Linked DNA regions of Daphnia pulex. The protein of the gene in region 3 purifies or fractionates together with the protein of the main gene of each other region. This does not show direct contact. Links are inferred from orthologs where the notes say so. Each region holds a gene or a part of one and is shown on either strand. Other genes may lie near its edges.

What was found.
Region 1: the proteins of forkhead box protein O-like (region 3) and 14-3-3 protein epsilon purify together in Homo sapiens (affinity purification with mass spectrometry; 4 studies listed by BioGRID and IntAct, with this or other methods). This does not show direct contact. The link is inferred for Daphnia pulex from reciprocal best matches to the Homo sapiens genes FOXO3 and YWHAE.
Region 2: the proteins of forkhead box protein O-like (region 3) and NAD-dependent protein deacetylase sirtuin-1-like purify together in Homo sapiens (affinity purification with western blotting; 4 studies listed by BioGRID and IntAct, with this or other methods). This does not show direct contact. The link is inferred for Daphnia pulex from reciprocal best matches to the Homo sapiens genes FOXO3 and SIRT1.
Region 4: the proteins of forkhead box protein O-like (region 3) and S-phase kinase-associated protein 2-like purify together in Homo sapiens (affinity purification with western blotting; 3 studies listed by BioGRID). This does not show direct contact. The link is inferred for Daphnia pulex from reciprocal best matches to the Homo sapiens genes FOXO3 and SKP2.

Annotation. Positions count from the first base shown.
Region 1 is NC_060024.1:10,586,132-10,594,196, forward strand, and holds 14-3-3 protein epsilon, read left to right. Parts: upstream 1-3,881; 5' UTR 3,882-4,048; coding exon 4,049-4,112; intron 4,113-5,772; coding exon 5,773-5,972; intron 5,973-6,033; coding exon 6,034-6,140; intron 6,141-6,466; coding exon 6,467-6,604; intron 6,605-6,658; coding exon 6,659-6,873; intron 6,874-6,966; coding exon 6,967-7,028; 3' UTR 7,029-7,416; downstream 7,417-8,065. Other genes in the region: piwi-like protein Siwi, read left to right, coding at 1-38, 100-195, 259-414, 488-789, 854-962, 1,017-1,161, 1,223-1,364, 1,432-1,597 and 5 more. UniProt on the Homo sapiens protein: Adapter protein implicated in the regulation of a large spectrum of both general and specialized signaling pathways. Binds to a large number of partners, usually by recognition of a phosphoserine or phosphothreonine motif.
Region 2 is NC_060021.1:10,712,395-10,720,111, forward strand, and holds NAD-dependent protein deacetylase sirtuin-1-like, read right to left. Parts: upstream 5,045-7,717; 5' UTR 4,959-5,044; coding exon 4,856-4,958; intron 4,523-4,855; coding exon 4,399-4,522; intron 4,326-4,398; coding exon 4,064-4,325; intron 4,004-4,063; coding exon 3,881-4,003; intron 3,817-3,880; coding exon 3,623-3,816; intron 3,565-3,622; coding exon 3,146-3,564; intron 3,076-3,145; coding exon 2,958-3,075; intron 2,894-2,957; coding exon 2,622-2,893; intron 2,558-2,621; coding exon 2,367-2,557; 3' UTR 1,856-2,366; downstream 1-1,855. Other genes in the region: eukaryotic translation initiation factor 4E-binding protein 1-like, read left to right, coding at 1,094-1,238, 1,369-1,572, 1,632-1,678; neuropeptide FF receptor 2-like, read left to right, coding at 5,810-6,082, 6,144-6,174, 6,238-6,416, 6,501-6,644, 6,715-6,888, 6,954-7,160. UniProt on the Homo sapiens protein: NAD-dependent protein deacetylase that links transcriptional regulation directly to intracellular energetics and participates in the coordination of several separated cellular functions such as cell cycle, response to DNA damage, metabolism, apoptosis and autophagy.
Region 3 is NC_060019.1:11,773,624-11,781,569, forward strand, and holds the start of forkhead box protein O-like, read right to left. Parts: upstream 4,599-7,946; 5' UTR 3,662-4,598; coding exon 3,185-3,661; intron 1-3,184. UniProt on the Homo sapiens protein: Transcriptional activator that recognizes and binds to the DNA sequence 5'-[AG]TAAA[TC]A-3' and regulates different processes, such as apoptosis and autophagy.
Region 4 is NC_060018.1:4,259,498-4,266,852, reverse strand, and holds S-phase kinase-associated protein 2-like, read right to left. Parts: upstream 4,673-7,355; 5' UTR 4,444-4,672; coding exon 3,928-4,443; intron 3,861-3,927; coding exon 3,758-3,860; intron 3,698-3,757; coding exon 3,389-3,697; intron 3,325-3,388; coding exon 3,162-3,324; intron 3,097-3,161; coding exon 2,913-3,096; 3' UTR 2,857-2,912; downstream 1-2,856. Other genes in the region: cyanocobalamin reductase / alkylcobalamin dealkylase-like, read right to left, coding at 67-189, 254-324, 404-491, 557-751, 843-920; peptide chain release factor 1-like, mitochondrial, read left to right, coding at 1,268-1,625, 1,681-1,763, 1,822-2,044, 2,105-2,253, 2,325-2,426, 2,492-2,824. UniProt on the Homo sapiens protein: Substrate recognition component of a SCF (SKP1-CUL1-F-box protein) E3 ubiquitin-protein ligase complex which mediates the ubiquitination and subsequent proteasomal degradation of target proteins involved in cell cycle progression, signal transduction and transcription.

The DNA.
Region 1 (8,065 bases), on a different chromosome or scaffold from region 3:
TCGGAGAAATTCACAAAGAAGACGCTACCTACACTTCGGTATATTTATTTTTAATTACACTCAAGTAGTTTTCTAATTATTGGTTATATTTTTCTGTAGGTCATGAACATTATTTTACGCCGTTGCCTTGGCATGCTTAATTTGACTATGTGGAAACGCGATTATTATGACCCGGCAGCCTTGACTGAAATTCCGGTAAGGATTTTCTTTTATAATTTCCAGAAATTATTTTACTTATGTTTTTGGTTCGTCTTGTAGCAACATTTCTTGAACGTATGGCCCGGCTACCTGACTACTATCCGACATCACGAGGATGGATTTCTTCTTGGTGTAGAGATCATCCATAAAGTTTTGCGTCGAGATACTGCCTTAGATGTTATGGATAGATTGCGTCAATCTGGGGGTGATATTCAGGTATGCAATTTGTAACTGAATTTTTAAAAGACGATTTTTAACCTAACAATTTTATTTTAAATTGCTGCTTTAGGCACTGTGTAAGGCGGAACTGCTAGGAAAAGTTGTCATGACGCATTACAACAAAAAAACTTACCGAATTGACGATGTCGACTTCACCAAAAACCCCAGATCAACCTTCCACCTGCGCAAAGAAGACCGTGATATTTCGTACATGGAATATTACCAGACGCGTTATAGCCTCTCGGTGAGGAATGCTTCCCAGCCAATGTTAGTTTCACTCCCTTCACGACGAGATAAAAATCGAGGCGACGACCAACCAGTGTACCTCATTCCAGAACTGTGCGGCATGACGGGTCTCAGCGATGATCAAAAGTATACATTAACTCGAGCATTCAGTATTGATAATAATTTTACTTAATCATTTCTCAATTTTTAGGAAGAATTTCAATTTGATGAAGGATGTCGGTAATATTACGCGAGTTATGCCAGATAAACGTGTTGATGCCCTCATGAAGTTCCGCAAACGACTGGCCGATAATCCAAAGGTGAGTGTGGTTAAATATGACTTATTACAATCTATTAATGATATGTTCTAACAGATTCAAGAAGAGCTTAACAGTTGGGGTCTCGACTTTGCAAAAAATATTGTCTCTTGCAATGCGCGTATTATTCCTGCTCAAACGATTCAACAGGGTGGTAACAGTTTTCCAACACAAGAAGGAGACTGGAGTCGTAATATTCAGCGTAAGTTATACTTTACATTAAATGACGAATCCGAGTACTAATCAATTATTAATCGATTTAGGATCCAGGATGTGTGTGTCTGTGGAATTACAGGATTGGGTTGTATTTACGCCGTCAGCAATGATGCAAGAAATCACACCCTTCGTTAATATGATGAAGCAAGTTGGAGCTCAACAGGGTTTTAACATCCCGCAACCTGAATAGTATGCGACCATTTTTCTAATATATTTAATATTCAATTCATTCTTAAATTACGATTTTCAATAATAGTATTAATATGCAAATGGACCGTACGTCAAACTACGTCGAGGCTATTCGAGCGGAATGTGGTCGAAAGCAATTCAGCCTTATTTTTTGCGTGTTGCGTGCTGCACGAGCAGATACGTATGCTTCAATCAAGAAGATGACGATCTCAGAATTCGGCATTCCATCTCAGGTATCCGTTTGAAAGGGAATCGTAGTTGGCATCTTCATGATTGTTTAACTAGATTTGATCTTCTTGCACAGGTGATAACGGGAAGAAATATCAAGGGACAGCCCGGTAAGCTCATGTCAATCGCCACCAAAGTTATGATTCAAGTTGCTTCGAAGTTGGGTGCGGAACCTTGGAGAGTTGCAGTCCCCCAGACGGTAACTTTTCTCGATCGAGACGTTTGCTTCTTGAATTCTTAATTTATCTTTTGGCTATTATTGAATGTAGAAATGGATGGTTATCGGCTATGATACGTACCACGATGCACGTCAAAGAAAAGCTGTCGGTGCATTTGTTGCATCCATCAACCCGACCTTCTCGCGTTACTATTCTTCTGTGAAAATTCATGAAAACAATGAAGAAATTTCACCCAGCTTCAAAGATCATCTCTTTGGCGCACTCAAGTATGTTTTATTATGCTTTCTTTGTTCCGTGCAAAATAATATCTCTTTTTCATTCGCACAATTAGATCTTATTACATCATGAACGAAAAAACATTGCCGGAAAAAATCATTGTCTACCGTGACGGTGTCGGTGCTGGAGACATTGCGCGACTGAAGGATACGGAAGTGGCGGCACTGAGGGTAATAATGATGAGTGACGGTCTGTGGGAAGATTTTGAGGCTCGTTTTTCTATACAATTATCATTTTTTGGCTTGAGTAGGAGGCTTGTTCCGATGCTGGTGCTCGAACAAATTACCTCGGGACTGGTGTGTATAATCCACCCATTGCGTTCATTGTCGTAAGCAAGCGGATCAACACGCGATTTTTCGCCATGGGACAACGTGGAGCGAGCAACCCTCCTTGCGGCACGGTTGTCGACAATAAAGTGACGCTCAATGAGAGATTCGACTTCTTCCTGGTGTCTCAAAAAGTTACGCAAGGTACCGTTTCTCCCACCAGCTACAATGTTATTGAAGATGACACTGGAATCGCCCCTGATATTCACCAGCGACTGGCTTATGCTCTTACCCATCTTTACTACAATTGGCCTGTAAGTTTTTTTATTTTTATTGTCTATTTTATTCAGAATTGAATTTAACCAATTTGTTCATTTAAGGGTACCCTGCGTATTCCAGCGCCCATCCAGTATGCGCACAAGTTGGCGTACCTTGTTGGTGAATCAATGATGACGCAACCGCATGAAGGACTGAATCGACTTCCTTATTACCTTTGAATTACCTTTCATTTATTTTCTCCCTAAGTTTTGTCATTTTTAACGTATTAATTTGTTCACTCATAAGAAAAAAACTAAAAGACGACGAGACATGCCTCACTCGCACGATTTTCGAATGACGCCAAAAATATTTTTCTTGAGTTTGTTTGCAATGGCGGATATCGACAATGGAAGTGTTTTTCATGCAATTTTTTTTTCTGTTTCACCTTCATGGGCCATGTCAGAAGTGTGATAATGAACGCCCCTTTGTGCCATGTTGTATGTAATCAAGGAATGAGTAATAAACCTTTGTTTTTAAATGAAGTAGATTTATTGACTTTCGTGTGGTGAGTTTTTATATGATGAAATAAACATGAGTTGCAATGGAATTCGCGTTGAGATGGCATTGACGGAAAAGCTCTACGTGTGCAATGCACATAGCACATTAGGTGTTTCGAAAGCACTGAGGAAAACAAAAGAATGTGGCATCGCTGCTTGGCAGGCGTGGTCAAGCTGACAGCTGTATCGAGAAGAATGCAGGCCTGCAAGGCCAACAAGGGTACGTCTGGGCAGGATCGTCTGGGCTTCCTCGATAGTCAACTTTCAGGTCCGCAAAAGCCAAAAGAACTCGCAAGTCATTGAATTGCTAATTGTCCACTAGAGACACCATGCGGCTGTCTCTTTTGTAACCAAGGGATCTCAATCGTCCCACAGCGAACTAAATCGTTTATAAAAATTATTTCAATACTATAAAATGACTTGATTTCATAACTTGAAGCTTTTTAAAAACACGATAAAATAATATTTACGTAACAAAATAGATGGTTGCTAGACATCCAATAATGAATTCACAAAAAGTATGCATAGAATCAAATGATTAGAATGAACATGTCATTACTCGGATAATAGAAAATTTGAATAAAAGTTTTATTTCATAAGAATTAATTAAATACCTAAAAGATTAGACAGCCCCCAAAGGTGTTTGGCCTTGTATAGATGTCAGCACTGTACGCTGCTAGATGCATAGGTAATAAGAAACGAGATCTGGCAATCTGGCCTCTTCCCATCCCATCGACTCTCGCTGGCATTTTCCGCTTTAGCTACAGGGCAAAGCATTCTAGCAAGCGTACGGTGGAGTCTCAGTTGCTAGCTACACTCTTTGGTCTTAGTCGAGACAATTCGAGGCAGGTTCCGATTCCAACGGTCTCGCTTTTGTTTCTTTATCCAGTGACATCTGCTTATAGTTTATTCCAGCAGCCATGGCAGACAGAGAGGATAACGTTTACAAGGCAAAACTCGCCGAACAAGCCGAAAGATACGATGGTACGTAAATGTCATTTAAATGTAAAATCGAAAAAAAGAATGAAGTTTCATTTCCTCTGTGTCTCTATGACTGTGCATCTCTGTGGGTAAAACCGAACGAGACGGTAGGCGGCTTTGAAAAAAGGCTTGGGCGTTTGACAGACTTATGACGTTTTGACTTTTTGTCTTTTTTCTTGTACATTCGGTTGTGTAATGGGGAAATTCAGCGGCGTCCCCCCTCTTAGTGTTGGCTTGAATACTTTCGATCAATATGACACTCGTACTTGAGGTTCATTTTTCCTGACAATTCCATTTTATCAAGTATAGTATAATCTCAGCCATGTTTTCTAGAATCTCTTTTGAGGGTTTTTGTCGCAGTACGAAATAAAAAAAAAGTAATTCTGGGTGTGTGTCCGGTGTGTGTGTGTATCTCTGGGTGGTTTTCCTCGAAACCTACCGCTACGTAACGAGATGACTTGGATCAATGAGTCATGAGAGAGAGAGAGAGAGAGCAGAGACTTTGGACTGTCTCTTTGTATACTTGCTTTCCAATAACTTTTTTATTCTCTTTTTCGTGAAAAATACGTAGTCGTTTCTATTCAACTTGGGCCTCTCACCATTGCGCATCACCAAGGCGACGGATCTCTTCAAAACGACGCTCGGTAGAGTACCCCACCCTTATGTGCGTGATGCGTTGGGGGTCCTGGCTACGTTGATGAAAACGTGCCGTCTAAAAAAGCTTCTCTCTCTCTCTCTCTCTCGAGGACATCAAAAAGGAAACCGTTCACACAACAATGGCCGCCTGTGATGGTTAATTTTCTCTTCTATATTTTTCTCTCGACTCTTCTGTCTGCGGCTTACAAAAACCAAGAATCGGTCAAGCTCTGACAGTGGGCGGAGAAACCCGATGGAAAATTAGCCACCATTTTTATTTTTCGTCTTTTTCCTTTAGGAAAATATTCCAACTGGTATGAATGGGGCGTTTTTCTATTTCCACATATTTTCGAAAAAATAGTTGTCGCACGTGACGCGTCTCGTGCCTTTTGTCGTTGTAGAAAAAAAAAATTAGTTTTTATATTTTTAACTTTATTCCCCCCCCCCCCCTTCACGTTTCAATGATGGAGGGAAGTTGGAAAGAAGAGAAAATGCGGTGTGGGTGTGTCGCCCTAGAACCTGTCATTACGCCACTGCGATGTGAATCCAAGTGGAGAGCCTGTCCGTGCATACAACTCGATCGTCTGGTTATTATTATTTCCCTGAATTCAAACATGTACGCCCAGCTGGAGAAACTTTTATTTTTCAATTCCTCCCTTAGAAAAAAAGAGGACACACATAGTTTTGTGTGTGTGTGCGTAACGTCAACTCGGTTTGCCCCTGTACTTTTCCTTCCTTCCGCCGTGGGGATGCTGATGTTGGGGGTTATATGACGACTGCGACGTGCTGGATGTGTGGAGAGCGGGCGGAACTAGGCGGTAGCGTGTTTCCTCCCGTGGCCGTTATTGATCCGCTACTTGAAAAGTCGCTCGAGTGTGGGGGGTGGGGTAGACAGGGAGATGGGGGGGAAAGAAGGCAAAGCCTTTATGTCTGAAAGTGTATCTATCTTTTTCTGTCCAAAAGAGAAAGGGATCCTCTGACAAGTTTCTTTGGCTAAGACTATATGATAATCTGTTTGTTGATGCAGAAATGGTCGAGTCCATGAAAAAGGTGGCGTCGATGGACGTCGAGTTGACTGTCGAGGAGCGGAATCTGCTGAGCGTGGCTTACAAAAATGTGATCGGCGCTCGTCGTGCATCTTGGCGCATCATCTCGTCCATTGAACAGAAAGAGGAGAACAAGGGAGCCGAAGATAAACTTGAACTCATCCGCAATTACCGCAATCAGGTATGGATAATGTATTCAAATTTTATTCATTGATTTGTGCCTTTATCTGTTTTGTCTATAGGTCGAGAAAGAGCTGAAGGACATTTGCTCTGATATTTTGAGCGTCCTCGAGAAGCATCTCATCCCATCAGCCACCACTGGAGAATCTAAAGTCTTTTACTACAAAATGTAAATCGATTTTTGCTTGGCCTTTTTTTTTTCAATCTTGCGAGTAGTAGTTGGACATTCCTATTAAATGCACCGGTGGATTTCTCTCAAAGTCCTTGAGACTCGAGCGTCTGTGATTTCGAATTCTACTCGTGTTTCGCTTTGAGAGAAAAGAAAAAGTGTCGTTACTATCTCTACCAAACGTGTACACAATTTTATCGTACGTAAACGTTGCGCCAAGCGCAACTTTGTGTGCGCGCAGACATGTTGTGGATGGATGGCCTGGTATTGATTATTGACGATTTTACACAACTCCCTTCCTCTGCTTTTGTCGTTGTGTTATACAGGAAGGGTGATTACCATCGGTATTTGGCCGAATTTGCGACAGGAAATGACCGAAAGGAAGCTGCAGAGAACTCGTTGATGGCTTACAAAGCCGCCTCCGACATTGCCATGACGGAATTACCCCCCACCCATCCCATCAGGTAACTTAACTAACAATTTGTTGCCGATCCTCAACTTAACTTTATCATTTGTAGATTGGGATTGGCCTTGAACTTTTCCGTCTTTTATTACGAAATCCTCAACTCTCCGGACCGAGCGTGCCGGTTAGCCAAGGCAGCTTTCGATGACGCCATCGCTGAGCTCGACACCCTTTCGGAGGAGTCGTACAAGGACTCGACGCTCATCATGCAGCTCTTGAGGGACAACTTGACCCTCTGGACTTCCGACATGCAGGGCGATGGAGAAGCTGGTTAGTAGAGCAACAGCTAATTGATTTTTGTCCAATCACGCCAACAGGACTTGTGTGTGTTAATAATTAAAATTTCCTTTTTTAAAAAAATTGATCAAGGAGATGGTGAACCAAAAGCGGAAGTCGCAGACGTTGAGGACCAAGACGTCTCCTAATCGGCGATGTAATTTGTATTGATGTGTTTTTTTTTCTTAAGTCCTACATGATTTGTTCAATTTTTTCATTATATTATTAATTTTTTTTTTTCAACAAAAAAAAAAGTAATCCGGAAATCCACCACCTATGTTTCCTTTACTCTTATCTGTCTCCCATTCGCTCCCCCTCCCTCTAATTGTTCATCCCGCGCTCTTCATCGAACACTGGAAACTGCATTACAACAATTACCGAAACGGTTTGCATGGACACGTGTATAACTCCTCAAAAACAAAACAAACAAAAAATAATTAATAAGCAAAGGCTGTGTGTGGTTTTTGTTGTCATTCCCGTTGTCCCTGCCCTCTGTCTCTCTTTAATTTCCAATAATCATTTCCGTTATCTCTTGGATCTTCCTCGTCGTTTTATTCGTCGAAGATCCAGCGTGCCCGCACACACACACACACAGACGATACACAACACACTCACAGTTTCAATTTCTCTTCGGAATTTTTCTCTCTCTCTCTCTGCGATGTAGTCTGGCGTCACACAAGACTTCACGTGTAACCTTTTAAAACAAAAGCTGCTGTTGTCTTTTCAACTTTTCTGTAAAACTGCCGCGATTTCTTCATTTCCTCAAATTTGTATCAAATGGGATTGAATTTTCTACCAGGGGCTACTAGAGAGAGGAAAGCTGAAGAATTCGAGTAGAGGTAACTGTGGAAAAGTATTTGATTCAGTCTTTCCGCAACTAAATAATTGGCAATGGATTTTTTGAAAAGTAAAAAAAAACACGAATGGAAGAATAATTTCTTGGCTTCGTATCGCATTTTCCCCCCTTTACTATTTACTATTAGGCCTACTATTAAGTTTTTAACTTTTTCCATGTCGCTCGAGCCATTCCCTATTTATTTCTCTGTGGTGTCCAAACATTTGCTCACCATCATAGTTGGGAAAAAACCAAGAAGAAAAAAAAAATATTTGAATTTTGGAAAAGAATTTTTTTTTTGGTCCGACGTGATGTAACCAGTCTCCTTTTTTGCAAAGAAAAATAATCTCC
Region 2 (7,717 bases), on a different chromosome or scaffold from region 3:
CTGAAATATTTAGCCACCTAGTGACATCCCTTAGCATTCACAGACGAGTAGGACGGAAAATAAACCAAAGTCCAAACATTCGTCATCTCCGTGAAATATATCGAAAAATTAACTAACAAGTGAGCTTTGTTGGTGGAATAGTTATCGTCAGTCACCACCAAAAAGTTACCACAAAACAACTGCCGATACATTTTGACAGGGATGTGCAAAGTAGCTGAAACTGACTAATTTGACATGTGGTTGAAATCATATTTCTTTTTTAAAGATTTCGGGATATTGAAACTAGATGGCGTAAAACATTCCTATCTCGGTTTGTTTCTGCGTATTGTGACTTATTGACTTTGTGAGTGAAGTTTTCCTCTTGAAAATGCATCAGTCTTCTATTTAAAAACTGTATAATGAAATTCTGATTCTCTAATCAAAGTTTTCTTCCATATTTCAACGTGGTTTCATGGTCTATTAACTGTCAGTTAATAGACCATAGTGGTTTTTATTGAAATACAAAGACAACGACAACATAATCTGGTATAATGTAAACAAGCGTTGTCGTCTGTCTGCTTCTTGTTTCTTCTGCTTGCCTTGGAAACTTGTTGCAGATCTGCTTGTTGTGAAACTTCAGTAATTTTCCAAATAGTATTGGCGTACATATAATTACTTCTATAAATCTTTTTATTTTATCCAAAAGAAAAATAAATAAGTCCATACAGACATATTTGTTATCATTTTATCGCTTAAAATATGTAATATGTAGTGCTCGTAAAAACTAGTAATCGATTTCCCTTGCGTAAAAAATCGAGTTATATCGTGCTGGACTTGCGACGTATTGCTCTCCAGTTTCGACGCACTTCCCAGTTGTAAATAATAGACTGAGTTTTAATTTTTCCAGATCACCTGCCATACGCCTTCTTCATTTATACGCCGTAAGTTGAGACACATGGTGTTAAGTAAGTTGTTGTCCTATGCATGACATTAAATATTTAGTTATAATGAGATTTTGGTAGTTTATTTTCGCATAGCAACACACCATATGTTTGATCGCCACGCGGTAGTTCATTATTTTGGTTATCACTATTTTTCTTTTTAGACTGCCAAAATGTCAGCGTCACCAATTGCTCGCCAGGCCGCTCAACCCCAAGGTCAAGCCATCCCAAGACGAATTCTCATCAATGATGCCAGTCAATTACCACATGATTACTCCAGTACACCCAATGGAACTCTGTATTCAACCACTCCTGGAGGTATTTAGGAATGGGTGTTATGATGTCTGGTGTGCCCTTATGACAGGCACAGCTGTGTGGTTTCTAAAATAACAGTTATTCTTTAGTTTTTTATTCTTGAGCTTATTCATCACACCTTTCGTTTCTTTAGGTACAAAGATTATCTATGATAGGAATTTCTTGCTGCAAATGCGCAATTCCCCTGTCGCCAGGACTCCACCCAAAAACTTGCCTGTAATTCCTGGTGTCACATGCGATAGTCCTCACAAAGAGAAGTCCAAGTTGATCAATGGGCAGAAAAATGTTACTGTACAGCACAAACCTGTGGAGCTTCCAACTGTTGAAATTGAAAAAGGTTTTTAAAAACTTCTTGTTTTATGAATTTATATCTAATAATACTTAATTCTATTGCAGTTGAAGACAAGAAACAGGAAGAACCTCAATTCGAAATGGATATTTGAATTTGTTTCAAGTACAAATCCAAATAATCTGTAGACTTCAATATTCTTTGAACTTGGTCAGCAAACAAGTTCTAAATCAAGATAAAGTGATGCAATTTTTCTGCTTGTAAGAAGCATTGAATTTTTTTTTCCCAGTTAACATGGTTGATTTTTATGACATTTCACTAGAACATCAAATTAGAGTGAAAAAGAAGTCATGGTTTATTTTCCCTTCTTGGTTCAAGGAGAAGTTTTTTTTTATGTGGGGGATTTGTTTTGTGCTTCAAATAAATTGATGGATACAGAACAAGTGTAAACGCGAATACAGACAAGACATACATACATTTAGTAGAACATTTCAAAGTAATTTAAGGGAAATATTTGAAATTTAATCAATAGTTCATGCTCACCCTCTCCCGGTACCCGACATAGCCGACCACCTTTCTGCAGGTGCAATAGATAATGGCCATTATTTCTTGAAGATTGGTGAGGTAGATTGCACTGAACATTTCAGAACAGCTTGCCAAGATTTCACAGAAAAATGAAAATTCCACTTCCCCTTATCCATAATACAGGAAAAAAAAGAAATACTAAATACCATCGAGAGATTTCGTCTATATACACACGCTTGAAGCTTTTAAATAGAATCCATATTGTTAACATAACAATGGTAAAAACAGAAGCTTTGTCGTTGCTTCGGAATACGTCGTCAATCCATCGCTTTCCTTTTTACTCCATGCTCCGGGAAAGGTTGAGTTGAATCTCCTCCATCAATTCCAGACGAATCGCTGGAATCAGAGGATGAGTCAGAATCGGACTCTACCTCTTCGTCTGGGTCATAGAAGAGTTCAGCACCAGGAAACAGGTATCGACCAGGTTGGACGGTGAGATAAGTGTTTTCTGAATTTTATGCAAGGAAATGCATATAGATGACATAGACAACAACCGAACAAAAATAAATTACCTGGGAGTTGATCGGCAAGATTCACTTTGATTCGCGGCTCCCACCATCCGGTCATGTCATGAGTAACTGGTTCAACATCACCAGACTCGGCTGATTCCATTTCTAAGCTTCCTGTAGACATCCCACTGTCCCGGCGTAAAGGATCGTCTTGATCTCTTTTGGGGAAAATGGGTGCAGGTACGGCGACAGAAGGAGTGGGGCGTGGTGGTAGGCGACTGATCTCTGTTAGAGGTTCGCGGTAACAAATGTCATCTTTCCATTGTGTACCCAGTCTGATTGTTACAAGAAGATTGATGAGACAACAAATTTGGCTGATGAAAATTACTGTATACTAACAAATGACACAGTTGGTTGACGATAATATCGCAGTCCCCAAGCAGTTCAACATCAAAGACCATGTGGCGGAGAGGTTCGCGATTGATAAGAATTTGCGGAACATGATTCGGTAGGGCGCCTATTTGAATCAAGAGAAACTTATTGCATATGAACTTTAAGGTTACAAGATGACATTTAAAATAACTTACATGGGATGAGTGCGACAGGGCGGACTTTGAGCGATGACCCAATCACGATTATCAGGTCACATTCTTCTTTATCGAGTACCATAGCGCGGTGAAATTCGTCTGGCATTCCTTCTCCAAAGAAAACAATGTCAGGCTTCATGATCGGCTGGGCCGATAATGCCACCGACGACGATGTACTGGCCTCGTCTTCATTTTTCGACACATCCGAGCATTTCGGACAAAGTGGAATGCGTTGTTCCATTATGTCTTTTTCTATCTCGTTCGAGGGGACGCGATGTTGGCAGCGCAGGCAAGTGGCAGTAGCAAACGAGCCATGACATTGGATAACCCTTTCGATATCTGCTTGTTGTTCTAGTGTATCTATGTTTTGCGTGTAGTTGCGCAAAAGCTTGTTTTGTTTCTCTAGCAAACGAATGAACCTAAACAAAATATCGTTTCATTAGCGAAATTTCAAAATTGTCAAGAGAATTTGTTTACTTGTGGCATTTAGAAGGTGTAAACTGTCCTGGCCAAAGGTCTCGGGCGAATTTAAAGAACGGTCGGGGATCTTTTCGGAAGTAATGGATATCAAACATAGCTTGAGGATCGGGCAAGTCAGGGAAGTCGACGGCTAAGCGAGCGTAAATTCCATCACGGCTACGAAAGTCGGGAATACCACAGGAAACAGAAACCTAAACAAAATTTGTTCAAATATAATGAGGTAAATTATTTTATAAAAAAAAAAAAAAAAATTACCCCTGCTCCTGTAAGAACTAGAATCTTTTTACAGCTACGGAGTAATCTGACGGCATCGGATATTGCATTTATGTGGCGTAAACGTTCCCGCCTTGGAGGTTCACTGACAATATTCACGATTATCTGTTTTATTCAATAATTATGATTAGTTGCCTTGACAATGCTACAAATTTATAATTTTACCTTCCAAAGGGTGACATCGTCAAGATGGGTGGGGATTTGAGCATCATTTGGTACCAACTCATTCAGGATGGTTCGAGGATTGGTACCAAGAAGCATCTGTTGTTGCACCCAAGACATCGTCCCTGATGATGGCTCCCAGTCATGATTGCTCAAGTCACTCAACCCACTTATGTCTGAAACATCACTATCTGAGGAGGTATCATCATCTTTCTCCAAATTGCCCATTGAATCATCAGCATCTTGAATGGCTGGCAAAGCATAGCTACAAATAAATAAATAATAAAGTTAGACCATATGTTTGTACACAATAAAAAGAAGACATTAGTCCACATTACCTGGTAGATGGTAAATCATTAGTGAGATTTTCATCCTCGCTGCTGGCTAAAGACGTTAACTCGCTGAAGCCTGAATCCCCAGCGTTGAACATTTCACAGCTTCCTAGTTGTCCTGCATCATTTGCTGAAATTTAAAAAAAAAAAAAAAATATTTCAAGTAAGCTCACAATGGATCAACTCTACAGCCATCAAGAAATTTCAACTCAAGAAACCAAAACAGTATTTGACAAGTGTCATCACACTGTTATGACATTCAAACATGCCGCCCCAAAATTTTGGCAACGCAGCAATCGACCAAAAAGAAGGGCGTCTCCCCTCCCCCCCCCCCATCCGCCAATGGCCGCACTAACGAAGCAAAAGGCCATTTACCTCAAAACCGAATGCAATCTTTTGCTAACAATTTTGATTAGGTTCACAAGTACATTAAATGAATGAAATCGATCAAACGGGTACTTACAAAGCTGTTGGCCCTCAATAAAGGACTGTGAGATGTCAATCGGCAGCAAAGTTCTGCTTCGTTTTACGGGACTGTGAAAGTTCTCGCCTTGTTCGTCGGCCATTGCTTCGTCTTCCGTCGATCGTGGGGTAGAGGGCGCTTCTTCTTCTTCACAAATTTCGGGCCGCCAGGTGGCAGGTCAGCGTTGCCAGTATGAATCGAATTCGTCCCGAAACCGGAAGAAAATATGCGCAAGGACATGTATACATGAAATAGGAAGGGAATTAATTCAAGGCCTTTCCTTGTCGAGCTTTTATATCAACCTTAGTCCACTTTCCGCACGTTGCGGTTCAGATAAGGCATTGTGATTTTCGCATAAGGAGGAAAGCTGCTGATTATAATTTTTTTTTTAATAGGAGGTTTATCAGAAATGCAGTATCACCAAATTAAACTGAGAAAAAAATTAGTTCAAGATGTACTAAACATCACGAATGAGGTTACGCGATATCGGGAAAATAATTCACGTATGGCATTTGTACTAGAGAAGCGACCCCGAGGTTTGACTGACTTATAATATTCGTGGACCATAAAACCAAATCGCATAGGGGTGAGCCGGCCCGCGGTGCGTTATACCCCCAAAAGTTGTAAAACATGGTCTAGCGATTTGACGAACTTAATTAAATCTGATAGGCATAGCACACGGGGCCGCCCGATATGGCCGCTCTTGTTTGAAAGCGTGCGTCACAACAATTGCGCTGAGTGTGTGTGAGGATTATTAGTGCTGCGGGATCCGGTAAGTACTTGACTCCAGTCGAGAACGATCAGGCTTGATAAACAACAGCAGAGCTCAGTTGCTGGATTTACCTTCCGACAAGCAAGGAATTACTACTTTTTTCAATGTAAGTGAATTCATTGTTTTCCCACACGTAATAACCGAACTCAAGTCGTTCGTGCGAATTTCAGACTTTCACAGGAATGGATTTTTCAAACGTCAACTTCCCATTTCCTTTGTGGATTGTCCGTCCCACCTGGGAGTGCGCCTTGAAAATCGGATTCTTCGTTCCTGTCATTATCATCAGTCTGCTTGGAAACGGTTTGGTGGTTTACCTCATGGCCACCAATCGATTTTTGCGCACTTCCATCAACATCTTCATTTGGAATTTGGCCATCGCCGATCTTTTAACTATCCTACTCATCCCGTGGATAATTTTAATCATCGATCTCTACCAGATGTTCATTCTCGGAGAGGTTTCAAAACCAGTCAGTTTTATTATCAAATAATTATAATTTCCATTACATTTTTGGGAAGGTTATTTGTCGAACCGAGGGATTTTTAAGAGGTAATTCAAAGCTTCATTTTAAAAAAAAAACTGGCAAGTAATTCATATATTTCAAATCAAAAGTGATGCTGATGTTGGTGGACGTCTTCAGCTTGCTGGCCGTAAGCTTTGATCGTTTCTTTGCCATCGCATTTCCATTCCGCCCGCGGATGGGCCAATCGGCAGCCTACATTATTTGCGGAGTCATCTGGATCCTTTCAGCGGCCATCGCCTCTCCACTCATCGCAGCCCGCGTCTATAAAGTACGACCAAGAAGCATTTTAAATTGATCAGAATTATTTAGGGTGTTATATCATCTGCCGCCGCCAATTTGACTCAACACACAGGAACGACAATGGAAGGATATATTGGAGTCCTGGTGCATCGACAACACTTCCTTCTCTTTCGTGTACTACATCTCCCTCGACGCTATTCTCGTCTGGTTTCCCCTCATCGTCATGACTGTTCTATTCATTTTCATCTTCATTATTGTATGTAATCAGCTTCTTTTACATCCTCTTGATTGGTTAAAACGGCAGCAGGTTTCAAATACGTTTACAGATGAAATCGCGGACTTCGACCTGCTCTGCCATTCAATTGAAGCAGTTGGCCCAGCGTCAGAAAATCATTCGGATGCTTTTCTTCATTCTGATTGGCTTCTTCATCTGCTACCTGCCTTTCACCATTTCCATCATCGTACGAAATAAAATCGTCCTGGGCAACAGCATCAATAGCGTGAGCATTGACTTTTGATTATTCACGGAAAAAATGGCAATTGATTGAACATTTCAATAAAACAGATCCCAGATTGGTTGCGCTCCTTGTTGTACACGACGCGCTATGTCATGTGTGTAAACACAGCCATCAATCCCATCATCTACGGATTCTGCAACGATAACTTCAAGAAAGCGGCCGCCAAACAATTCCCGTCGCTCAAATGGGGCGTCACTCCGGTGGCCGCCACCATTTCCGCTGCATCAAACACAGGACGAGTCAATTCGGATTAAATCAAATTGAATTACCTTTCGCGTGTAGATTGAGTTGTAGCCCATCTAAAACAAAACAAAAAAATATTCTTGAAACAATAATTTAGTGAAACACATTGGAACGTTGACATTTGTGACTTTATCTAACGGCAATCACGTTAGATCTCTATTTGATTCAATGACGACATTCCATGAAACAAAATGTGCAGTGGAACAGAAATCATATTATATATTATTATTATGGAATCAATGAACAAAATACACGAGTCTTGAATAAGTGCAGTCATGTATCATTGAAAGAAACTTTTATTTTTTTTTTAATTTATTGATTATTATTTTTTTTTTTTTTGGTATTAGCCTTCGGTGTCTTTTGGACTTATTTATACACTTTTCTTTTTTTTTTTTTAATTCTTCTTTACCATTTTCACCGCAAACATCCGGTGACAAGGTGAGGCGTCGTTGTCGCCGTCGATTGAAGAAAAAAAAAAAGGAACGTCGTCGATCAAAAAGAATTTACTGTATACATTTCTAAGAGCGGGCAAATTGACTGGTATTTTACGAAACTTTTTTCTGTCCCC
Region 3 (7,946 bases):
ATTCACTCGCTGTTTCTCCCCCCATCCACCACTCTTCACCCCTACCAGCACACACTCACATATTCTTATTCCACCAGCAACTCTAACGAAGGTTGGCACAAACTTTTTTCGGCGAATACCCAAAAGAATTTCGGCACACGAGGAGCCCCGCCTGCTCGTAACCAGCCATCACAAGTTGATATTTCCTTCATTCCATTTCTTTTTGGTTTAAACTTTAAGACTTAATTTCTATGCACAGCACACAGCCAAGAAACTCAAAATGTGTCTAACGGGAGTTTCAATGTCCACACATTCCGCGATGATGAACATCTTTCGAGATGCAAATCATCAAAGTATTTGCTTGATAGATTTTCTTTTTTAAAAAAGAATAGAGAGAAATGTCTTGAGCTCTCCCTCCACCCCTATAGAACAAAACCCAAATAAAAGATGATTCGATTAGAGAGGACTGTCATTGTCAATGCGAGCCATCAGCTAATTAGCTTGTGCGCTGGTTCCAGCACAGCAGCTTTCTTTTTCTTCTTTCGTCTGCGATGTCTAGCCAAAAAAAAGCCTGGGCTTGCTGGACATGTCCAGGAGGATCAGAAAATAAAAAAAGATCCGAGTTAAAGCATTCCATATAGGCCCAGCGCACACACACATACATCCGTACTACCACCACCATCAGATAGATATGAAAAGGGAGAGGGGGTGGTCGCCCCTTTCGAATGACCCTATTCGCGACTGTACCTCATTTTCTTTCAACTTCTTTTATATTGTTATACCCTGTGATACACAGCAGTAGGAGCAGGAGCAATACTACGGCGATGTGAGTGGGAAAGGAAACTGGCATATGATGGCTGGGCATCGCCAATTTCCAGGCGTTTCGCCATTCTTAGGAAGGGAGGAGGGGGCTTTTGTAACCCGATCTGACCCTGGATATATAGGTTCCCCCCCTCTCTCTAACCTCCCTCTGGGTCCGCTGTGTAATGGCCTCCTGCTCTATGTGCTGTACGACGTGTACTATACCCCTTTTTTTCTTCAGGGACGAAAGAGAGAGAGTTGTGCTAATGTAACCCTCTCTCCCCCATCTAACCCCTTTTGCTTTCTTCAGCATCTTCGCCGATTCCTTTATAAATATTCGCCAGGCCTGCATGTACTATGACCCTTTGGCTGACCTCGTTCTCCTCCCTCCCCCCTGTAGACATGCAGCAGAGGCTTATAATGTACTACGTTTTCTTCTTCTTCTTCTTTTCATGAAAAGTAAAAGGGGATGAAGGTATTCTTCGACATGCACCTTCGTCTTTCCACACTGGCGAATATTATTATGATGAAAAGAATTAAAAAGTATACACATGGGGGATTTTTACTCTTTTTTGGAGGGTGGCTAGGGAAAAAAAAGGGTTGGTCGATCCCTATGGAAGATTTGAGGTTGCAAAAGGAGCAAAATGTGATAAAAATCAAAATGAAAAAATATTTCGACGTACCAATTGTCCGTACTATAGTTAACATTTGAAAAAATATATCGCCAAGGATCGAAAGTAATATCTATAAACTAGTACGAACTCAATCTCTTTGGTTACTCGAATCAGACACAAAAAAGGTTCCATTGACTCGAAAGAATTCGTCTCGATGGTAATCAGAACAAAGAACGGGAGAACGGTAATTGGAATCTCGACTGAATTTGAATCGTCGACGATGATGGCCGGGTGTCCAATAATATAGTGGAACCTTGATAGGAGTTTGAGAAACTATCCGGCTCCTCTAACTGGTCAAGCACATCTCTAATGCGCTTTAAAACTCTATACACACACACAACACTCAACGGCTGGTCAATAAGTTCTATATAGTTGATCGCATTTATAAAAGGCGACACAAGATATGCAACGAGACGACGCGTTTCTGGTTTTCTTTTTCTCACCAATTCATCCGTTCCGCCATGTCCGTCTACACAGATCCGCGCGATCCAGTAACCACCAGCCGGAAGTGATGGACCGGGGAAAAACAATTCTTGTAAAGTTGTAATCAACATCACACAATTATCAAATTTGTAACTTGGTCGCATTGTCACTTATTAAAAACCCCCCGAACAAAAAAAATTCGATCGACGTTTTTAAATTTCAAATTGAAAAAACCGAATGGGAGCGTGAAACGAACTGTAGAGAAAATAAGTAGAGCAACTTGTCCAGCAGCGGCAGCAATAACGCCGAAAAATGCCGGAGCCCTTATATACATATACAAGTCGGGGGTTTGATTCTATACATCATATGCTGTAGGATATAATATCGTGACGTTATATAGAACGAATGAACGCGGTTTCGGCTTGCCGGCGCCATCTCTTTCCAACACACACACGCACGCACACAAAAATGGAGGAGAGAAGATCTAAACAGCCGTGACGTCACGGCCTCTTCACCGCCGAACCTCTTCTCAAGGCCGCGCTCTCGTACACACACACTCACTCACACTCGTCCGTCACGTGACGGCTTTCTCGTTTGTTTTTTTATTTTTTCCTATTCCTGCGTGTATACTGTGGCGGACTTTTCACAAGCCAACGTCCCGAGTCTTCAATACGGACATAATTATTCATCACGTCGGGAGGGAATACATATAAATCGATCCGAGTATAGTCAGTTTATCGAGTTTAGAAGTAGATGCACTACATTCCCGTCGTATGCACACAGGATAAGTTTTAGATCATTGACCCTCCTCGGCCAAATGAAGTCCGGACCCGAGTGTCGATAAGTCACACAAGAAAAAAAAGGGGGGGGGGAGACGGCGGCGCTCTCAAATGAGACGGTTCAGCTGCTGTGCGAACGCCAAAGTCAGAAAAACAAAATTTAAAAATAAAAAAATAAACGAAGACCGGGAAAAACCGCACCGGATCCGAAAAAGAGTGAATAGCGCACGGCACACTCGAATCCGCGCATTGAATCATTCATTAATCAGCTGGGGCCCTATTATCATCAGATGAAGGGCGTCCTTATCATCACGCGGGTTTTCCGACGTCACTTTTTCTCTGTGTGTGTGTGTTTGCAGTCGAAAATCCCGCACGCACCTCCCATCATAGTCGAGAGAGATTGTGTCTACCCCACTACACACACACATACACCCCTGGCTGGTAATATTATGATTCAATCATCTAGACTTATGATGACGTCATTTTACACGGGATAAATGATAAAGAAAGACGATAATAGAGTCTTACCTTCCATCCTGCCGAACTGTTGCTGTCGCCCTTATCTTTGAAGTAGGGCACGTTCTGGACCATCCAGTCGTAGATTTGCGACAGGGTCAGCCGCTTCTCCGACGACGATTGGATGGCCTGCGTGATTAAATCGGCGTAAGACATGTTGCCCCAAGCGTTGCGTCGGCTCGAATTCTTCTTGGCTGCCGCTGCCGCCGCTGCGGCCGCACTGCCGGCCGCCGACCCACCGGAGCAGGAGCCGTCCAGCAACTTGATCGAGTCCATGGGGCTGCCCATGTTCAGGCCCATGCCGCCACCGACCAGGCCGCCCATTCCACCGCCACCGCCGTGGCCGCCGCACAGCGAGTCCACATCGCACGGCTCCTCCTTGATCTCGACGTAATTCTCCGGGCGCGGCAACGGCCACGTGTTGGACCTGGCCCGCTGCTGCGGCTCAAAATTCGAGTCCAAATCCAAATCCAAATGAGCGTGAGCCATTTTTTTTCAATTTCTTCCGATTGTCTTTAATCAAAACCAAGTCCAATCAAACGAACGCGCGATAACAAAAAAACAATTATTGAAGGAAATCACTTAAACACTCGGCTTGTAATAAACGACGACACTGCCTAATGATGACGACAAAGGGGATTGCGTTAGTGTCATATTCTTTCGTCGGGTCGACAGGTGCGATGAGTGATGCAATCCAAAAAGTTGAAAATCAAAAACAGCGTCACACACGGCGCTCGCGCTTTTGCCTCTTTTCTATTTTTTTTTTCGAATCTGATTCGTTTAGATTAACGCCAAAGTTTTGATGCGAGTCACACACACGAGCGTGTCAGGTCTTTGGGAGCGTATGGCAACAGGACTGCTGGTCGTCGGCGCGCCATAGGGCAGCAGCAGCAGCGCAATCTGAACCCCTTTTTCGCTGATTTCGGTCGAAGGTTGTGTGTCTGTGCGGACCAAGCGAACCGTCGTCTATTTCTTTACTCCCCGACCAGAAATAAAAGAAAAAAAAAAAGAAGAACTGGGCAAAGCAGCTAAAAGGTGATGTGGAAAGATGCACGATCATGTGTTGTTGCCCCGGCAGCAGCGTAGCAACATCGGGCAGCAGATTGTTGTAGTTTGGCAGTGGAGGCAGACGACGCAAGTGCGCACACTCGACAAATAGTCAAACACACGACCCGCTAGCCAAAATGATGATGCGTGTGTCTCAACCGAAAATATACTACTACACACACACACGGGAGAGAGGGGGGGGGGCAAATAGAAAGGCGAGCGAGAGAGCACTACTAGAGTTTGGTATGTGAGTTTAGAGAAAAATGATGGCAGTTGTCCGATAGTTCGTCTGGACTGGGCGAGAGTTGGACGCGCACTGAAGCCGCTCAGTCGTACTTGGGATTTTCCACAGCACAGCACACGGGCACACTGGCACATAGACACTAGAGGGCGAGAGGGGCGGAGCCGGCCTTAGAGAGAGAGAAGCGAAAAAATAAAATGAAAAGGGGGCAGCTCTCTCATACCCGGCCGCCACCACGGGAAAACGTCGTGTACAATTTTTTTTTTTCCACTGGCACTTTATACACATACTATACACACCAACATGCTGCGTGATAAAGCCTCTCTACACAGCCTTGGCGCTATGTGGGTCCCAACAGTTCCGGCAACCTTTTTCGTTTTTACTGACTGTATAGAAACTCACGAGACCTTTCTAGATGTGATCCGCTTCATTGCCATTCATATTTCAAATTCCCCAAATTTTTATTTATTTTTTCAATTTTTCCTGTCGACTATTGGAATGCGCATTTCCAGCGCGATTTTCAAATGGGGAAGAAATAGGAAAAAAATTCATTTTGATTTGTTTTTTCCTACATGTGAAATAGTGGCGCGGTTGTTTCTAGGAGAGCGGGAGAGAGAGAGAGCCCAGCTCTCTGCTGGCCCAGCTAGTTTTCGGTCGCTTAAACTCGTTCGATGCTGTTCGGCGTTCTTATTTTGCTGGTAGTGGTGGAAGGAGAGAGAGAAAAAATAAAATAAAAAAACGTGTTTTTTGATATTTTTTTCTTTTTTTAGGGCGGCGGTGTGGTGCTGCTGCTGGAGCGCTCGGGCCTTCAGCCAAACGGCCAAGGTCGAATTACTGCGCATATCACAACTTCCCTATCCTTTCTATCAACCACCACCACCACCCGAACAACCTACTATACTACTACTATACACACCTCCCACCTCACTCCTTCTTCTCTCACCCTCAGAAAGCCTCTTCTATAAGCTCTCAGCAATCGCCCATTATCAAGGCCGGCCCGGCCCGACCGTGTGTGTGTGTCTGCTCTCTCCCTTTTCCATCCCACTCACTTACCACACACGTTTATTGATAGAGAGAGTACAGCCGAGCTAGACCGTGTGTGTACACCTAGAACCGCGGTATGCCTGCGATCGTGCAGTTCGTTGGCAGAGTCATCTGGCGGCGCCATTCTCACGGCCGAGTCCTAATGTCGCAACGATCCGTAGAAGATGTAAGGCGATGGCGCTAGTTACTACGCCAGTCATTCACGCGCTCCGTTAGATTCTCCCGACTCAAAAATATGCGGATGGAAAGAAGAAGAAGAAAAAGAAGAAAAGGAGAAAAAGGCACACAGTTGGTGAAACGGCAAGTGTATCGTGGCTAAAGGCAAGGCTATTGTGTATAGTAGTGGGACTGGGACCCACGACATGTGACTGGGTACGAATCCCGCTCTCTGTCGTCATTCTTCTGTATACTAATGCCAGTCGGGAAAACTCATTTTTACTTCTTTTTGCCTTTCAGAATATCTTGTTTTGATTTCATTTCTCTTGCACGTCGATGGGAAATTCACGATTCGAGTCGCGTATATTTTAGTTTTTAGTAAACGCTGATTGGCTTTTTCGACTGGGACAACGATGGACTATTGCGAGAGATTCAGACCTTGTGGCGCCCGTCACCAATTTGCTACGTCCGATTTTGAAATCACACAGGATCATTTTCCCTTTTGTCGTTATCTAACATTGTAGAATATTAATCAAGAGCGCCGAGAGAACTTTGGCGCGACTCTACGTCACTTTTTTCCTTTCCTGCCCAGCTGCCCGAAATCTAATTTTGAAATAGTTGTTTCCCGAGAGATGGCGCTCATCTCCATTGATTCAAAGTTCCCCCCATTCAAAAAGGCGCCGCGCAACACATTTGGCGTTGCGAATCCACAAAAATTTCAGACGCACAAAATCGCAAATTCATCACTAACCAGTTTGCCCTTGAAGACAATTCCAAAACATGAGATAAAGTATACCAACGCTGACTGCTGCGCAAGCGTGTTGCGTAACATTCGCTTCTCTTAAGTAATCTATTCTGATTCGGCTGACTTTTTTTTATTATTATTATTATTATTCGTTTTTTTTTTCCATCGTCTTTTTCATTTCCCAAATGCAAAAGTAAAAGATATCACGATTTGGTATAGAGCACAGATTAGGCTGGCTGCTGCTATCGTGTGTTGCCATGCCAACCGTCCATTTCGATAAAAAGGGGAGAGAGAGAGATCACATCTCGATGCCCCAGCCGCCGCCGACGAACGGCGAGACTCTAATCTCTTTATATCAAAAGAAATTTTTCGAGCATGTACAGCTTGTAGTCAAGCATATTCGTTCAAAGTTTAAATTTTTTTTTCTTTAATTCAAATTTTAAGCGAAAAACAAATTCCACCATTCTTTAAATAATTTCCCGCTGCCCAAAAAGTCGATTAAAAAAATGAATTTGATCAAAGAACTAACCGCTAAAAAAGGTGCGTCAATTGATATTTAATGCGATTGCCAAATAACAAAAGACAACTCAAAACGTGACGATAGAAAACGTGTGCGATTGTAAGCTGTGTATATAGGATAGGACATACGTCACTGCTGATTAATTGATGTGATAAAGAGTGAACAGTTATCTCCCGAACGCGATTAAGAAATATATATATACCCGCCGCGGGTACAATCATCTAGTAGTGCCGAACTCTGCGTGAGCTGATGCCCCAATGGGAAATGAAGATGTCTTTCGGCCGGCGCAAGCTGCTGCCGCTGCCGAGCTGCGCCATTATACGTCGAGTTTATTGATAGGAGCAAAACTTGGCGATAAAAGAGAGAGAGAGAGGGTGGCCGGTGAAGGGTGCTGGGAGGACTCTCCCGGTCTCGGTCTGGGTCTGGCTAGTGTATAGTAGTCGAGTTTCCGGGAAAAAAGTTTAGCTAACTTTGGGTTGGCAGATTGATTGCTGTTTACCGAATGCAAACGGCGTTATAGCCCAAGGGCGATGAAATTCGACAGCGCCGGGCGCCCCCCCCCCCAAAAAAAAACGCGCACATCAGTTTAGCCATTGAACTTTTGCTTCCGGCCAGCGGCATCAGTCGTTCAGAGAGTTTCTCTCTCTCTTTGAGATGATCGTGCTATACACACACTAGATGTATAATACGTACACGCAGGCGTCTAATCCGTCTGGCATCTGTACCACTGCAAACACACGAGGACAAAGTCTATAAGAGCTGTCCCGCAACCTTTTTTCTAATTAAAGGGCCAAAGTTTTCTTCGCGGGACGACGAGCGGCAAGAGAGAGAAAATATGGGAGGGAGCGCCACGTTGAACCAACAACTTGATTTTCATTGATCATGAAAAACAGGCGGAGCCAAGCAAAAGTTCGCTATATAGGACTCTACTACTCTAGACGGTGTATAAATATAGAGCGGAGAAAATGTCATTAGAAGGCGACAGAGTGTGTGGCAGCAGAGGGGACAATGTCGACAAATG
Region 4 (7,355 bases), on a different chromosome or scaffold from region 3:
AAAAGTAATAGATACTCGTTAAATCGTACATTCTGAGGATACACAAGGATTAAAATAAAATAATACCATAAGAATATCTTTCGGTGGTTTATAGACTAAATCAGGGACCAAGACTTTCTGGAATATGATAACTGCTCTTAAGGCAAACCATCCCATATAGCTGGGATGTAGGCAAACACCATAAATTGGCTAAATGGATGCCAAAAACATTACAAATAATATAACATCAAGGTAATATTCACCCTTAGTTTACCTGGTCAGTTAGCCAGGGAGAATTGATCACATCTGTTTTCTGATAAAAATAAACAGCACCTGAGACGTGGCCTGTTTGAACAAGCAATGAATTGAATTTGAATAATAAGCATAATTGAATAATGGTATATAAGCAATAATTTGAACAAGCCTGCTGTTTGAACAAGAACTTTTGGTCTTCTTGTTCCTGGTCTCATCTCATAATCATGGAGAATACTAATATCATAGCCTGGAATTGACTACACAAAGATAATAGAGTGATAAACTAATAAATAAAAAACAATGTTATTTAATCAAATAAAACCTGAATTGCTGTTTTAAGACAAGAGCTTATGGCTTGATCAAGGTAATCCTGATTATTGCTTCCAGTATTGTTACGAACAAATGGTATAAAGCCTTTTTCGAAAAATGAAGGACTACTTATCACCACAAAACAAAGTGTGTCTTCATGGTGTTCTAATTGAAAGCCAGATTTCACTCGTTCATTGTACCATCCAACCTATAATAAAGAAATGCATTTAACTCTAATTAGAAGTTAAAAAAATATTGCATAAAATAATTACTACACAAAGAAGCAAAATAAAAATTACCTTGAATGGGTGGCATTCTAACCCAAAATCATGTAAACATTCTGTAAGCTTTGTGTTAACTTCGAATAACGTAGTCATTTTGTCGATTACTAACAGAGTGCCATAGAGATATTTGTGTGCGATGCATATACTAGCCTATAACGGGCAGAGGATATTTTTTTTATCTCCAACGTATGATCGGTTTAATTGTGTAAATCAATCCCGCGCACACGCATGTTTCACGAATTCACACTGCGTGAATCAAATTTCAAAACAACAACTCTTTAAACTCACCTTCAGGTTTTTCTAAACAGTTGACTCACCAATCAACAAGATTCCAGTGTCGTCTGCTACCGTCAAAAAGGATTCACTGCGATTCACTGTGATTTTGATTTTGAAGACGTTGAAAATATATTCAAATTACCATCAAAGTTTAGTCATTAAAAATGGTAACTTGGGGTATTTCCAGTAAAATAGTACGAGTTCTAAGTGCCTTACGACGACCGTGTTTCGCCAAAAGCTATGCTAATAATGTAATATCCATTCGCTGTTTGAATCAAACCATTTCACATAGGAGTTTAAATCTCAATCAAGTATCATTCGAAAATATATTTGACCCGAGACTTCGAATTTTCTTATTAAATATCAAGAAAAAGTTTGATGAATCAGGATTTCAAAACATTGAATCAAAGTCTGGAATAGGTGTAGTAAACAAACAACGCATCCAATCACTTGCTGGATTAGGGGAAAAACTATTACAGACTGAAAATGATCTACAAGAGCTTAAAGCTTTGAGTGCAGATGGTAGGTGTATCTAGTTATATTTATTTAAAAATCTATATTAAATAGTGTATCTTAGATGATAAAAATGGTGACCTTGCAAAAATGGTCAGTGAAGAATTTTCACAGTTAAAGGAAATCCTAGTCCAGATCCAAAATGAAGTATAAATTCAGAGTAATCAAGTTTAAATGATTGATAAGAACCCATTCATTGATTTAGGTGTTAGAACTCATTTTGCAGGAAGATAATCATCAAACTGAGGGAATAATCATGGAATTCTCTGCCGGAGTTGGTGGGCAAGAGTCCATGTTGTTTTGCAATGAAATATTACAAATGTACATCACATACTGTGAAAGTGAAGGATGGGACTATGAATTAACAGATATTGAAAAAAGTGATTTAGAAGGTATTAGGCATGCTGCAATTTGCATTAATAATTCAGGTATGTCTTTTCAAAAATTTAGTTTAATATATTAGATACAACTACCTACTTTTTTCTCAGACGCATATGATCGACTGCAGTTTGAAAGTGGAGTACACCGGGTCCAGCGGGTGCCCAAAACTGAAAAGGCCGGACGTGTTCATACCAGTACGGTAGCCGTTGCCATCCTTCCCCGCCCTTCGGAAGTTTCCGTGACCATTGAACAGAAAGTAAGTTTACTAATACTTAATTCTGTTTCCTTGAATGCATGACTAACATTTTTTTTCTTCTTTTTTTTAAGGATCTTAAAATCGAAACAAAAAGAGCAAGCGGCGCAGGTGGACAACATGTAAATACAACTGAATCAGCAGTGCGAATTGTCCATTTACCCTCAGGTGTAGTGGTAAGTTTACCGAACTAACTGAAGTATTTCTCATCAACAATTAAATGTTTTACATTTTTAATTAGGCGGAATGTCAGACACAAAGATCGCAAATGCAGAATCGTAAGGTTGCAATGGATAAAATCAGAGCTCGTCTTTTCCAAATGAAAATCGACCAACAGTTGGCAACTACTCGGTCAAGTCGTAAGCTGCAGGTAGGATCTAGCGGTCGCTCAGAAAAAATACGGACTTACAACTTCCCGCAAGATCGTATCACAGACCATCGAATAAATTTCACTAGTCATAACTTAGGGGAATTTTTACGAGGCGCAAGGCCATTTCATGTGCTCATAGGAAAACTAAAGGAAGAGTCATACAAGGAACGCGTATTTGAATTTTTAGAAAAAATTAAAGTTTAAGTCCGCTGAATGCCAATAAATTGTTTTACCAGTTTTGAATACATCAATATGTATTACTAATTTTTGCAATAAACATGACTTGAATTTTTCACTCTCTGACTTTCATCCCCCAAATTGAGGTACGTCGAATTCCGACTGTAGGTCTTGCTACACTAGAGAAATAAAACTTGTTGATTTCTATACTCGGAAGTTTGGCGCGAAGTGTTCCAAGCATAGTCTCCGTCAATAAACCAAAAATGTCAAGGTATAAAAGACCACTCTTTTGAAACACCCTAAAGGAAATAGAAATGATTAAAATATCTTTCAAATTTTGCTCTCTAACGCCAATGTTACTTACAAATACACGGAGAGAGGCACGTTGTAACATCGAGCCATCGCCAAATATTCCAGTCGCTTTAAATTATCATGAATATAGCTGACACAAATTGATGTCACTGCTGTGGAGTCGCTTATGTCTAATTCCACCAGCTTTGGACAACGTTGACACAAGGCCAGGACATCTAACATAAAATTCGGCATTCAACTTTAATGATCACAAATTTCCAGTCAACATTACAAACTTACGTTCGTCTTTAAGTGTCGTTCGACAACCACTGATATTTATGCGTTCTAAGGATTTTGGTGCAGATGTACTAATCAACTGAAGAGCTTCAGAATTCAAGTCTGTCCAAGCTAAATTCCAACTGTCAAGTTTCTTACATCCATTCACAATCCATTTAAGTTCACTAACTCCAACACCATAACACATGGACATATTCAGCACTTCAAGCTGCTCATTTTGACTTAGTGCCTTGCATGCTCTTTCATCAACAACACAATGTTCCATACTAAGTTTCTTCAGGTTTTTACAAGTATCAAATAAATCAAATAAACCTGCATAATATGTCCAAATTTGTACCCTTATTCCTATAAATTATGACTTGGTGAGATTACCTTGTGTTGAAATAGATGCCATGCTCAAATCCAAAAATTGCAAATTTCGATACCTTGGAAATTCTTGAAGTAGAGGACTTACTGGATATATTGGATCACAAATCTGTACATTGTTTAGAAAAATTAAATATTAGTAGTTGATAACAAAGAAACAAACAAAAGTTAATTACCTCAGTCTTAGCTAGCCTCAAGATGTGTGCTCCTCTTAAAAGAACACTACCTAGAATCGTAGGTTTTAGGCAGGTGCCACTAAGGTCCAACCTCCTCCATAAAACTTCATCATAACACAGTCGTTTCCAACGCTTTGACACCTGAGCACATTTGGCGATAGTTGATTTTGGAAGCCATTTAAATATGCTGAGAATGACTTCGTCTGAGAGGCGTGAGAATCCATCAATTCCTGGGGGACCATCCATCCTCATTCGTTTAGACAATAAAAAGCTATCACTAGATTGGTCATCTTCAGAAAAATCCATTACAGCTGACGGGACAGCAAAAGGTGAACATTCTTTTCGCTTTACAGCAGGTTCAGGAATATTGGAGATCACTACTTGTTTTACTGATGGATTGCTACAGGAGTTTGAATCATCGTCCATTGCAGATAATCCTAGATCTTCCATGACTTCTATCGATACGTCATGGCAATCAAGACTCCACCGTTTAAACCCGGTATTTAACTTAGCCATATTTTGTAGCAACGGGGCAAACGACGAAATCAACAAAGGGAGAGAATTAATAAAAATTTTGGTACATAAAAGCGTACTGGAAACAATTATTGAGCTGAAATGTTTAACCAAAAGGCACTTCAAACTAATTACTGCGTTTATATTGAAAACGTGTAAAAGAAAAATCTACAATCAGCAACGTCCAAACTCGTCACGTCGCGCGCTAAAAAGACACTGTCTGTGGAATCCGATGTTGACCGTTCAACAATTCATTTCGGAAATTTAAAAAATAATGTAAGCAAAAATCTTAAAATTTACCACAGATTTTAACCAAAGTTACTTTTAATACTAAAGTAACGAAATTATTTAGTAAGGAAAGAAAAATATTCAATTTAGAAAAAAATAAGTATGGCAAAGACGGCGGGAATTCAAATTTGCCTGTGTCAATGCGATGATGCCTGTTTGTAGAATATTTTAACTGATTATTATAACTTTAACATTAAGAATATTATTAAAACTTTAACATTAAGTTACTTAGGAAACTTTGAACAGAGTAATGACTAATGAGTAATAGAAATATTCTAATTACTTCTGCTTAGGATCCAGGAACCAGTTTAAGGGACCAGGGAGGAAGCGAATTTCAAAAAAGATTCAATACAAATACAACTGAGTGAACCGACAGAATGATCACAGATGTCTATAGCTACGGAATCAATAACTTTTAATTTATGCAATGACATCGATGTCGCCAACGTGTATATTTATTCATTAACCAAACCCCGAGTCGTTTCGCGCAAAAGTATTTGTTTGGTTGGTGTTTTATTAACCACACTTTGACAATTTGATTAGGTTGAATAATGTCATATGTCAATTTATTCCAGCAGAAAAAAGGTGAAGACTAAGTACAGAATCGTTGACATTTGGATTTTTATACTTATCGAAGAACAAAAAAATATTGATTGACTTGAGGACATAAGAACACGAAAAAAAAAAACTAAATAAACATCGTATGATTTTAATGTAATTTACTTTAACAAAAGAATATCCAAGGCTTTATCGCGATCGTGTCCAGCAGCAACAAGCGCAGAGCTAATCTTACCGTGTTCAAATCCTAAAGCAGACAACTGATCAACTAACACTAAATGATGTTCTAATTGCGTTGGTAATTCCTTACAGGGCTTAAGAACGTCTAAAGCCGTTTCTATTCTCTCAATGGAATGGCCCGATTCTTCCAGTTTCTGTATTAGTAAAAGCTGATCAACAACATCCTTTTCGTTGGCACCAAGTCGAGCAATAGCACGAACTGCATTTTCTCTCACAAATCCCATATCTTGTAGCTGCTGGACTAAACGTTTTTCGATTGCGTTCAGTTTCCTTTCATACGGAGATGCAACATCAAAGTTTGGTTTAGGCACTGGTCTTTTTATAGAATCTGATGTTAAACGAGGAGGGGGAGTGCGAGAACTGAGTCTTTTGTCCGTCACACCTGTAAATGGCGGTTTATTTATAGGGGTTTCTCCCGTCCCAAAACTTACGTCAGAGAGGTCTGGGACACTTTTAGCTTGACGTAAGTTTTTATGTGAGATTGCTTGATTTTGGAATTCTACAGGTATAGCGATGTTCCCATGAGATAGCTTGTCAACACTAAAGAATGAACTTTCATTGGGAATCCAATTTGCTGCAGCTTCATATTGACGCACAGGTTGATGTCTCTAAAATAAAAATTATATTTTATTTTCTTTAGTGAAAAATAAAAACTAAAATAAGAAAAATAATATAAAATAATATGTACATTTTCAGTCCAAGATGGAATTGTTGATGGGTTATAGTTCTGATACTGTAGTCCATAAGATGGCTGAGGGCTGGGTTGGAGCAACATGGCTAATTCTTCTTTGTCATTCAAGGTCTTTAATTCCATTTCCTCAAAAGGATTTGTTGAATAACTCTCAAATTCAGCTAGATTGATAGCAGACATGTTTTCTTTCTTCTTGATTTCCACAGTCGAGCTTTGAATTGGAGTAAGGACTTCCATGGAAGCCTGAGTATGTTGTAGCAATTGCCCATTCCTTGCTTGCAAGTTGAGAACACTTAGTGAGGGAATGTTGTTAGTAAGACTGTTCAAGGAAAGGTCTGAAGTGATCTCTTCAATTTCCTTCTCATCGACAGCAGCTTGACTCTCTAAAAATGCAGATACACTTTGCTTTCTTCTTGTAGTCTCCTGTGTATGTAGATCTCTCATTGAGGCTATCAGCTTCAATGCACTTACTTCATCAATGAGGTCAATCTAAAGAACAACACATAAGGTGATCTTTGATCATTTTTTAAATTGGATCAATTCATACATTATCAGAAAATAAATGAGGAGAAGGTTCGAAGCATAATCCAGGCGGAAGTGTGGGTCTACGAGGAGGTCGGTACTTTTCGCTAATCTTTACAGAGACCCCTCTGAGGTAACTGTTGGCTAATAAAAATAAAGAGTTCAGTATAATTTGGGCAAAAATTATGAAATTTTTTACCAGAAGTAACCCCAGAACGATCCATTATTATCACAGTAATCCAATAAAAATAATTCGAAGCATCAGAGTAGAAGAAACAGGAAAGTCACTACTTCATTTGTTGACAAAAAAGGTTTTCTGATGCCCTCTAGCGTACACTTGAGTACACATTCAAGGTTATGCAACTGTGAAATTGAGGTTTCTTACGGTTGCTTTAACCCATTTAACATCCATGCGTGACATGAGGTTCGAATTTTATCACGAACGCTATAATCATAGACAACAAAGTCGTCGTTGTGTATGCTATAATCAATCTTCTTCTGTATTGTATTCGTAATTATTAGATTCAAAATTATAGCTACTCTATAGATATATGTAAGAATAGTATCCATTTTTCTGAACATATAGGTTACGAGCTTTGGGTAGCTGTCAATTTTT